Linked DNA regions of Stegostoma tigrinum. Each later gene encodes a partner of the first gene's protein in a complex. Links are inferred from orthologs where the notes say so. Each region holds a gene or a part of one and is shown on either strand. Other genes may lie near its edges.

The links.
Region 2: snrnp40 (region 1) and cwc15 share a complex: the UniProt entries of both Homo sapiens proteins name them as parts of the minor spliceosome. The link is inferred for Stegostoma tigrinum from reciprocal best matches to the Homo sapiens genes SNRNP40 and CWC15.
Region 3: snrnp40 (region 1) and rbm48 share a complex: the UniProt entries of both Homo sapiens proteins name them as parts of the minor spliceosome. The link is inferred for Stegostoma tigrinum from reciprocal best matches to the Homo sapiens genes SNRNP40 and RBM48.

What each region holds. Positions count from the first base shown.
Region 1 is NC_081377.1:34,184,784-34,188,536, reverse strand, and holds the start of snrnp40 (U5 small nuclear ribonucleoprotein 40 kDa protein), read left to right. Parts: upstream 1-1,021; 5' UTR 1,022-1,099; coding exon 1,100-1,192; intron 1,193-3,753. UniProt on the Homo sapiens protein: Required for pre-mRNA splicing as component of the activated spliceosome. Component of the U5 small nuclear ribonucleoprotein (snRNP) complex and the U4/U6-U5 tri-snRNP complex, building blocks of the spliceosome.
Region 2 is NC_081359.1:46,830,053-46,833,805, forward strand, and holds the start of cwc15 (protein CWC15 homolog), read left to right. Parts: upstream 1-1,497; 5' UTR 1,498-1,787; intron 1,788-2,361; 5' UTR 2,362-2,500; intron 2,501-3,753. UniProt on the Homo sapiens protein: Involved in pre-mRNA splicing as component of the spliceosome. Component of the PRP19-CDC5L complex that forms an integral part of the spliceosome and is required for activating pre-mRNA splicing.
Region 3 is NC_081355.1:77,255,476-77,259,228, reverse strand, and holds the start of rbm48 (RNA-binding protein 48), read right to left. Parts: upstream 2,953-3,753; 5' UTR 2,867-2,952; coding exon 2,765-2,866; intron 375-2,764; coding exon 184-374; intron 1-183. Other genes in the region: pex1 (peroxisome biogenesis factor 1), read left to right, coding at 3,166-3,270. UniProt on the Homo sapiens protein: As a component of the minor spliceosome, involved in the splicing of U12-type introns in pre-mRNAs.

The DNA.
Region 1 (3,753 bases):
ACTTGTGAATATTTTTCAATATGCCTGACAGCAAAGAGTTAGCTCCTGATCAGCAAAACTGTAGAAAGTGACAGCAGACAATTGCGGTACTCCGACAAGCATCATCATGGGCCAACATAAATCAAAATATACATTAACGTGTTCTCCAGTCCTCTTAGGGCACAGCAGCTGAAGAGAAGAAAGAGAATGCCTCTGAATACAGAAACTATCAATGACGCCTGTGTACACAAGCAGGTTTCTCTGCGAACACAGGCAGTTACACTGTGTGGGGGCTATATTTCTAGGCTATAAATGTGCAAGGACACCGCCACGTTGCATTGGAAGACCAGGCGGAGAGACAGAGCCCTTTCGCCCTCGACCGAACACACGCTGTGGTGGAGCTGCAGTCTCGGTGCACTGATATTTTCAAAGCAGTGGGGTGGGGGCTCCTGCCGGAGTTGCTGATGAGCCTGCAGTACGTAAAAATGAAAAGGACTGCGGATACTGGAAATCTGGAACAAAAACATAAACTGCCGGAGTAACTCCACACGCCTGAAAGCTTCTATGGGGAAGAGGTGCTGATGAAGTGTCAGTGGGCCCGAAGCGCCAACTCTGCTTTCTCTCTCCTCAGAAACAGCCAGACCCGCTGAGTTCCTCCAGCAATTTGTTTCTGTTTCAGCCAACTCGTGTCCTGTACCTACATATCACACTTTATAGATACCATTTACAAACTAATTCTCACATTAAACCATTGGATAAGTCATACCGAAAATCAAAATAATGAAGCAAATGAATAAACCCCACACCTCAGAAGCCATGCCATCTTGGAGCTTCGACAGGTAGCCAATTGCGAGGAGCCTTACTCAGCCTGGACTGAGTGACATCGCCCTGAGCAAATCGGTTAGCGGATCTCCATGGGTCGCGCCCCCTCAGTGGTAATGGACACCGGGGGTAGCGAATAGAAGACGCGATAAGGAGGGGCTAAGCCGGACGGCTGAGTAATGAGGGGCCGTGTTATTGAGAGGTGGGTGCGAGGGGGGGGGGTCAGATCGTTTAGCTGAAGGCGCTCAGTTTGGGAGAGGGACTTGCCGTCGGGAGTTCGGAGACATCGACGAGGACGATGATCGATCAGAAACGCAAGGCGCAGGAAATGGCGCTGATTCCGACCAAGCGGCCGAGGAACGAGGCGGTCCCAGGGGTTCCGCAGCAGGCGGTGAGGCCCGGGACGGAGGGAGAGAGAGAAAGGGAAAAAAAAAAGCAGGCAGGCCACTCACACTCACTCCCACTAGCGATCAGAGAAGGCTGTTCGGCCCATTCTGTCAGTGCTGGCTCTCTGGAGGAGAGCCATTCCCTTCAACGTCTCCCCATAGCCCTGATGTAGACTGAGGGATAAACCTCAACCAGGGCACTGAGGATAACCCGAGATAGTGAGGTGTGGAGCTGGATGAACATAGCAAGCCGAGCAGGACAGCTGCCGTTTCGGGCCTAGACCCTCCTGTTCATTTTTAAAACATTGTGAAGGGATCTTTTACATCCACCTGAGCAGGGAGATGAGGTTTTGGTTTAATATTTTTACCCGCACTTCCCAGAGTGGTGTACTCCCTCATTTATCCCATTTAACTTTAATAACAAAACTGAAAATAACTAGTCAGTCAGTGATAAACAGGATGCCTGTAATTGACACCCAATCAATGAATTGGTCTTAAAAACAAAAGAACTGCAGATGCTGTAAATCGGGAACAAAAACAAAGTTGTTGGAAAAGCTCTGCAGGTCCAGCAGCATCTGTGAAGTAAAAATCAGAGTTAACATTTTGGGTCCAGTGACCCTTCCTCAGAACTGATTAACTCTGATTTTTTTAACTTAGTAAATGCTGTCAGACCCAATGAATTTGTCAGTTGAGTACACCATGGTAGATTTGTAGTGTCCCTGCCTCTGGGCTAGATGCCCCAGGTTCAGATCTTACCTGCTCCAGAGGTGTGATATGACATGTCTGAGCGGTTGATTAAAATATATTTAGAAGTACTATAGGTTCCCCCAATAGTCAGTGGGAAACTGGAAAAAAAAGAGTTCTCAGACATCTGTAAGAATAATAATGTTGTCATGGTAGGAGCTTTTAACTTTCCAAACATAGACTGGGACTGCCATGGTGTTAAGAACTTGGAGAGGAACTTTGTGTGTACAAGTAAATTTTCTTATTCCGTATGTGGATGTACCTGCTTGACAAGCAGTAACACCTCATCTTCTCTTGGGAAGTAGGATCGGTGACTGAGGTTCCAGTGATCATAATTCGGTTAGTTTTAAAATAATTATGGAAAAGAATAGGCATGATCTTAAAGTTAAAATTCTAAACTAGAGTAGGCCAATTATTAGGTATTAGCCAGGAACTTTCAAAAGTTGATAGGGAAAGGCGAGCCATAAGTAAAGGATAGTTGGAAAATGGGAGTCTTTCAAAATGTGATAACGAGTTTAAAGACAGTATGTTCCTGTTAGTGCGAAGGGCAAAGCTGGTAAATGTAGGGAATGCTGGCTGACTAGAGAAATTGAGTTTTTGGTCAAGAAAACTAAAGAGAGATATGTCAGGTATAGACAGCAGGGATTGAGTGAATCCCGAGGGGAGTTTAAGGGCTGTAGGAGTATACCTAAGAGGGAAGTCAGGAAGGCAAAAAGGGAACAGGAATGAGCTTTGGCAAATAGGGTTAAGGAGAATCCAAAGAGGTTCTAAAAATGTATTAAGGGCAAAAGGGTAACTAGGGAGAGAATCAGGCATTTTAAAGATCAATGTGTCCATCTATATGTGGAACCACAGGAGATGAATGAGATACTCAGAGTATTTTGCATCAGTATTCACTGTGGAGAAGGACATAAAAGCTAGAGAAGTTGGGGAAATAAATAGTGATATTTTAAAGTGTCCATATCATAGAGGTGGTGTTGGATGTCCTAAAACACACAAATGTGAATAAATCCTGATCAGGTGTATTCTAGAACATTAGGAACCTGGGGAAGAGATTGCTGGGATCCTTACTGAGATATTTGTATCACTGATAGCCACAAGTGAGGTGCCAGAATACTGGAGGCTGGCTAATGTGGTGCCATTATTTAAGAAGGATGCGATAGTGAAGCCAGAGAACTATAGACCAGTGAGCCTGATATCAGTGGTGGGCAACTTGTTAGAGGGGATTCTGTGGGAAAGGGTTTACATGCATTTGGAAAAGCAAGGACTAATTAGGGACGGTCAACATGGCTTTGTGCATGGGAAATGGTGTTTCATAATTTGATGGGTTTTTTTGAAGAAGTGACAAAGAAGATTGAAGACAGAGTGGGGGACCTTGCCTACATAGACTTCAACAAAGTCCCACAGGCAGACTGGTTAGCAAGGTTAAATCACGTGGAATCCAGAGGGAGCTTACCAATTGGATACAAAATTGGCTTGAAGATAGCAGACAGAGAGTAGTGTTGCAGGGTTGTTTATCCAACTGGAGGCCTGTGACCAGTGCTGTGCCGTAAGGAATGGTGCTGGGTCCACTGCTTTTTGATACTTACATAAACGATTTGGATGTAAATATCGGAGATATTGTTAGTAAATGTGCAGATCCCACTAACATTGGAGGTGTAGTGGGCAATGAAGAAGGTTATCTCAGAATACAATGGGACCTTGATTAGATAGGCCAATGGGCAGAGGAGTCACAGGAGGAGTTTAGTTTAGATAAATATGACGTGTTGCATTTTGGGAAGGCAAATCTGAACAGAACTTGTAGAGTTAATGATAGGGCCCT
Region 2 (3,753 bases), on another chromosome or scaffold:
CCTGTGGTCTTGCCTTATTCCTAACCACCATGGTGTTTTCAACAGCCCTCTTTGATTTCCTAATTTCTTTTAAAGCAACCCTCTGCACTTTACATTTTCTTTCAGCCAACCTGTTCAGAGATATTACTGCACTCCACTGGGGCAGGTGGGTTCTTGAAACTAAGCCTCCAGAGCCATCAAGCAGTCTGACAGGAGGAGCAGCTAGACACACTTCCAGCACGTGGAGGAGTCAGGAACATTGTTAGGGTCCCTGAATTCCCACATCTCACAGGAGGAGCATGACATGGGTCTGGGATCTCCTGCCATGACTTTATCCTTATGTTAACAGCAGTAGCAAAGCAAGGGGTAAGTAAGAGAGATGCTAAATTACTCAACAGGCACAAGCCATTCACTTACCTGCTGCCTGTGACTTCACAGTTAAACTTTCTTCTACTTCTCCTTTTCCCTTGTGTCTTCAGCAGCTGCAGTAGTTCACTCCTCCTCCAACTACCTCACCCTGCTGCTGCTCACCCTCCTCTCCCAAGCCCAGTATTCACTTAAGCCCACATCTAAACCTCCAGCAGTTCAACTAGAAAGCTGCCTTTCTCAAAATGGCTGCTCTGCTACAACTTGCCTTCCTTTTATTCACTCCAGGGCAATGACTGAGATGACTCCTCCCTGAATCTTTCTCAGCAGCACTCTCTGTTAGCAAATTGCACAGACTCAAGGCAGTTATGTAGGCTGGAATTGACATGAGCCATGACTAACCTCTCGAAGCATTTCATAATTATGGAGGTCACAGCCACTGGGAGACAATCATTGAGGCAGGCTGCATAAATTTTATGTGGCACCAGGAAAATGGTGGTCTTCTTGAAGCAAGTGGGAACTTCACATCGTAGTGAGGAGAGGTTAAAGATGTCTGTGAATGTTCCCGGCTACTGGTTCACACAGGGATCTGAGTACATAGCCTGGGACCTCATCCAGGTCAGTCGATTTCTGTGGTAAAATAAAACTCCTCTTGGTGCCTCTGATGACGTTACCAAGGTTGTATTTGGATTTTCTGCATAGGTCACTGCCAAGAGGCAACACGGGCCATCAAGCGTGTGAGGCTGTTTGGTATGGATGGTGATCAAGGAACGTGGAGTCGGGGTCACGGTACTGGAGGAGCATTCTACCTAGTTTACTACCACAGACCAGGGCTTGCCAGGTTCCTTTGCAGAGGAAGTTCACAAGCGTCCGTTGGTGCACTCAGCAGCGTATCGGATACAGGATGCCTTCGAAACATCAAAGATAATGATTAAAACATCAATATTAAAATAAAAATCCTGGGAAGGTATCATTTTCAGTCCTGAAGAAGGGTAATACTAGAAACGTTGATTGCTGCTTTCCTCCTGATGCTGCCTGGCCTGCTGTGTTCTTCCAGCCTCCTATTGTCTACCTTAGATTTCAGCAGATTTTTTGTGTTAAATTTTGTTTTTATTGACGGTTAACTTACGTATTTGGAAAAAAAATGCTTGAATCATCGCTAATAGCTACAGTTGACTTGTCATGGCATTACAGAAGAAGGAACCTCCTTTACCATCTGAAACGAGATCAGACTTCGGATCAGCGACTACACGATGAATAAAATTCAAAACGGCGATCAAGCGCTTCCGTTAGTTTCCATTTGGGCCACCATAACCTACTGCATTGTGGGATATTCGGACGTGAAAACCAGCGCTGGAATTGGGAAAGGTGTTGCTCTTTAACGTGCCGGGGTCGAGAAACATCGTTGGCCGGTGTCCGCCATAAACTCGTCTCTCTACGAGGTTCGTATGCGGTATAGTTGTTGTGGGCGTTTTAAATTCAGTTCGACGTGCTTTAGGGGCAACATTAGTTGGAGCGAAGGTGTGGATTTTACGAACGGATCGGAGGTTAGAGGGGGTGGCATTGCCGAGTTGGTTTGGGTCGTACCCTGACAGGACGAGTTCATGCGAGGGGTGATACAAACAGAATCAACAGTTCCTTTTAGAATATTTGGGGTAGGGATAGGGGCATGCGCGGGGAAAAAAATATAAGTTGGATATATACACAGATCAGACCATAGCATCCCGACAGTAAGAGGGACATAATATTTGGCCCATTGAGTCGACACCGATTCTCCGAAGAACATTCCGCCCGGACTCCATGCCTCTGGACAATTTAGCATAGCTCATCCAGATAACTTGCACGTTTTTGGATGTGAGAGGAAACCGGAACGTCAGTAGGAACCGACTTGGGGCGAATGTGCAGACTCCACACCGATAGTCACCTGAGGCTGGAATCGAACCGAGGTCCTTGGCACTTGAGGCAGCAGTGCTAACCACTGAGTTGCTGTGAAATTAATAACTGTGTTTTGTGCAGTGACATGCTGCGATATGGAAGTACTTCCCGAAAAGGATTCAGAAGTAACTTTTAGATGGGAGTCGAATAAAAAATTGGAAGAGGAAAATTCTGTAGAAAGTTTGAGGAAGTGGTGGCCCTTTTGAAAGAGCTGGCAGAGGTATGGTGGATTAAATATCTTTTGTGGTTCAGTAGAAGGGTGAGCTAGTGATATTTTGGAAGTGTTGCACGCTCATGAGTCAAAATGTTGTTGGAAACCCGTCTCCAGAACATATACATAATCTCGGGTGCGATCTACATTGCCCTGCTCTGTCAAAAAGACAGATGGTCAAATGAGGGAATGATTCAACTGGATGGAAAACAAACCTTATGGCTCCATTCAGAGTGGAGCATAATATTCTCCTGGTGTTCTGGCCAGCGTTCTGCTTTTCCAACACTGCCAAAAAAGTTCTTCTACCAGGTCATTTTGTTTGTAGTTTATGGGAACTCAGTTGTAGTTTTTTTGATATTAGAAAATAGTACGAACATAATTGCACTTCAGAATTAACAAAGTATAGAACTGGATGAACACTGCAGGCCAAGCAGCATCAGAGGAGCAGGAAGGCTGATGTTTCGGGCCTAGACTCTTCAGAAATGGGGAAGGGGATTCTGAAATAAATAGGGAGAGAGGGGGAGGTGGATAGAAGATGGATCTACAGTTCCACTCTCTCTGCACTTCAGAATTGCCTGTTTCTCCATTTCTTGAGGAAATGGAGGGATGAGGATGAATTTCCTTTCTTATGTGTGTATTAACTATCTGAACTAATTTTACTGAGAGTAACTTTTTTTAAAGATTAGTTTCCCAACAGTGTGGAAACAGGCCCTTTGGCCCAGCAAATCCACACCACCCCTTAAAGCATCCCACCCAGACCCATCCCCCTGTAACCCACACATCCCTGAACACTATGGGCAATTTAGCATGGCCAATCCACCTAGCCTGCACATCTTTGGACTGTGGGAGGAAACCGGAGCACCCGGAGGAAACCCACACAGACACGGGGAGAATGTGCAAACTCCGCACGGTTACCCGAGGCTGGAATTGAGCCCGGGTCCCTGACGCTGTGAGGCTGCAGTACTAACCACTGAGCCACCGTGCCGTCTGGCTTTTCCACAAAGAATGCTTAAAATGATGCCACATTTACCAAGGGTGGCTTTGCTGCATGACAGCTGACTGAGCTGGTTGAGTAATAGAGGAGGTAGGTGTATCAACAAGAGTGACCACCACAGTACTTGTGAAGACAAAAACCCACTTTCACATGGAGACACCCTTCATTAGAACTACCATCGTGCTCAATGGGATAGGTTGTGAACTAATCTAGCAAATCCAGACTAAACATCCGTGAGGCACTGTGGGCTGTAATGATACTCCAGAAT
Region 3 (3,753 bases), on another chromosome or scaffold:
CCAATACATTTCTATTACTTAGTGTGTGTTTTTATACTGATTATGTGGACCTCTTGATCAACTGGCACACTACTGGTCCCATAGGGCACCAGTTAGTAAAAGGTTTACTGTACAAAGAAAGAATGAAAGATATTATTTCTCCAAAACTGAAAAAGTTATTCTAGTTAATTTCTAATTCATTACCTTGCACTCTGTAATCTTTGGTATTTGATGTGATAAACTTCTGTGAATTCCTCAGCTGGGTACTCATGCAATACAGAATATTCTTCAATGGTTCCATATAATGCAAACAGTTCAATCAACTCCTTCATGACTCCCACAGCTGGCACTCCCTGTATTAGCAGGTGCTTCGATTCCAGATTTATTGTGTACACCTAGACCATTGTCAAACATGAATGTGGGGGAAACAAAGCCAGTGATTTCAAAATCATCAATGCTATATTATTGCTTTAGAGTGGTAGATCCCATAGTTTTTCCCACAGTGATCCCACTAAGGGAATCAAGGGTTACAGGGAGAAGGCAGGACAATGGGATTGAGAAACACATCAGCTATGACTGAATGTTGCAGCAGACTCAATGGGCTAAAAGGCCAAATTCTGCTCTGATATTTAATGATCCTTCAATACTTTGGGATGAAGGTCATAAATTCATCAATCTTAAATCAAGTTAACTTTTTAAATACTATCTATACTAAATTTAATTTCTGACTTCCCAAGACCCTTGTTCGGGAAACAGACACCAAGGGCTGCTCTTTAGTTGGCTCCTCAATATAACTGCTCCAGAAATCCAGCTCATTCACAGTCCAGGAATCCTCCAGAGCATTAGTGCTGATTTGATGGACGATAGATAGTATAAGGTACTGGTGGAGGTTAGATAGACCTTAGGTTTAGGGTAAAAGTTCCACACAGCTTCTATGTTAACTGAAATTATCCATTATTACTTTATTACCCACAAGTACACGCAAGTGTAATGTCCTGATTTGTACTGTGTCCAGTATCACCTGTACAATTTAGTGATCTATAAAAAACTTGAAAAAAATTGTGCTGCCCCTTACTGTTCCTTACCCTACCCAAACTGATTCTACATCTTTTGGAATAGGGTTATTCCAAGGCACAACATCGTGGGTCAAAAGGCCTGTACTGTGCTGTACTTTTCTATGTTCTCTGTTCTATCTTCATCCTTTCATCCAAGGTTCCCTCTCACTAATCTACTGATCCTGTCTTCTATTAAGAGTGCTATCTCATCTCCTTGTCCTTCTTGCCCATCCCTCCTAAATCCCAAATGTTCAATTTCCAATCTTGGTCACTCTGTAACCACGTCTCTGTAATAGTATTTAAATCCAATTACTACAATTTGTGCATTTAAATCAACTATTTTGCAATTGTTACTTGGATTCAATAAATTGTTTCTAATTCTACGTGTTCATCATTATGCTCTATTCCTAACATAAGGAGATCACAAATTATCTTCTCCACAAAGCAGTGAAGGATGGCTCACTGAACTTATCCAAGGCTGAGCTGAATGGAATATTGACAAACAAGGGAATCAAGGATTATGGTTTGCAAACAGAATAGTAAAGCTGACACCATAATCAGATCAGCCATGATTTTACTAATTACACAACAGCTTTGAAGGGCCAGATAGACGTCTCCTGCTCTTGAATGTTGTGGTCCTCTACAGCATTGACAAATTGTTGTTCAGGTTCAGAAACAGGTCTGTTGGGTGAGTGAAGTCCTAAAGCTCTTTGCAGGGATGACATTGTCATCCAATGCATAGCCATACTGACTGTGGTATTTCCAAGACAAAGAAAGATATAGGAGATCTGCAAATGAGCTGTATGGCAGAAAGGTGGTGGTGAAATTGGAAGCCGTCATTCAGTTCTAAAATGCAGAATTTTAAAATATGCCATTACATGTGAACATTGGCTAGGAATTTGTTGTTTGTTCTTAACTGCTCTTGAAAAACAAACAAATGCTTAACTATCTTCTCAAATTGCTGCAGTCCACGTGGTTTACTTATTTCGCCGTAGTGTTAGGAAATCAGTTTCAGAATTTTGATAGCAAAATTAAAGGAACCGAAATACGGTCCCGAGTGCGGCTTGGAGAAGTTACAGGTGGTGGTTTCCCACGTAACCGCGGCTCTTGCCCTTCTAGGTGGTAGAACTCATGGGTTTGTAAGGTGTTATTGAAATTACTTGAATGCACCTGTAATGTATCTTGTATGTAATACTGTCACTGTGGTGGAGGGAGTCAGTGTTTAAATTAGAATACCGTTCAAGCGAACTGCTAGAATTATTATACTTCAGTCGACAGAGTGAATCTCTAGCCAAGAATCATAAATATTCTAGAGTTTACAGGGTTAATTTAAATAACCTGTTTATACCCGCTAACGTTTAGATCATAACCGAACTGTTTATAATTACAAAGGAAAGAATTGGAAGGACAGAATTCTTTCTGGTGAGGTAATCGAGCGCAATATTTTGCCATTGAAATTAGATAATTTAGCAGTAAATTATTAAATGTTTTCGACCATAAAGTGGAAATCTGGATCACGCTCAATGTCGACAAGAAAACGATAAACGTCTTCTAAAGATCCAAGAAAACTCCAAAATATTCGCATCTTTCCACCAGACAGCCATGTTGTATCCTCATTGAGAACAACATTGCATTCAACGAAAGACTTTTGCATTCCTCGCAATCAATGAGCTGCAGGACGGGATCGGGTTGTTTCACAAACCTTCACCTACATCCGAAGCAGCACTTACTTTGACAGCCCTCAGCCTCCGACCCTCTCGGTACTTGGGTCGCGTGAAGCAGACGTTTTCCTGCCGATGGTGTCTGAACACCTCAGGAACCCGAACAGCCATCTTTGATCGAAGAAGAGACGATCGCAATCGAGTACCGATCGCTCGATGACTAGATCGTTTGGCACCGGCCCCGGATGGAGTCCCGCCTCCTCCGTGCCCTCCCGTTGAGCTCGGGATGTGATAGGTCGGTCAGAGGTCAATCGAAGAAATCTTGCGTCGGTAGGTCATTTTCGGAAACGGAAACTGACGGAAGTTGGCTGTGCTGGATCTGGCGAATGCGGTCTGTGTTCGAATCTGTGGAATCCTGCGCCTAACGGTGTAAGCGGCGCGAGTTGTGCCCTTTGGCAGCGCGCGGCAGGATGTTGGTTGCCGGGGCCGTCTGCGTGCAACTCAGACTCGGCAACATCAAGGACTGCTTCCTGCACCTGGCCCCTCAGCGAGCATCGCAACTTCATCTGGAGGAGGTGATAGCCGTCGCCAATGGCGTCTTCCCTTTCTTCTCTTCCCCGCTACCACTGTCTTTTTGATTTTACGCCTGCATTTATTATCCATCCCCGGTCACCTTGGCGTCGGGGTTGGGTGCAAGTGATGTTCATTTCAGAGGTCAGCTACGTTGGTGAGGGACTGGCACCACATACAGGCTGCTGTGAGTGAGGACGCCAGATTTCCTTCTCTGGGAGAACAAAAGCAATTATTGAACAGTTTGGATATATATAGTAGGCCGACAATTTAATGGATTCTATTGCTGCTGGTCTTTCATATGTTTTCTCTTAAAAGCGTTGTATTTTGTGTCGCCACGCGCAGTGACTTGTAGCATGTGACGTATTGTGTATTAACATTGTATTAGACACAACAGTGTGGATGGAGCTGGAGGAACACAGCATCAGAGCAATACGAAAGTCGATGTTTCGGGTTGGGACCCTTCCTCATTTATATTTTGTTTATAA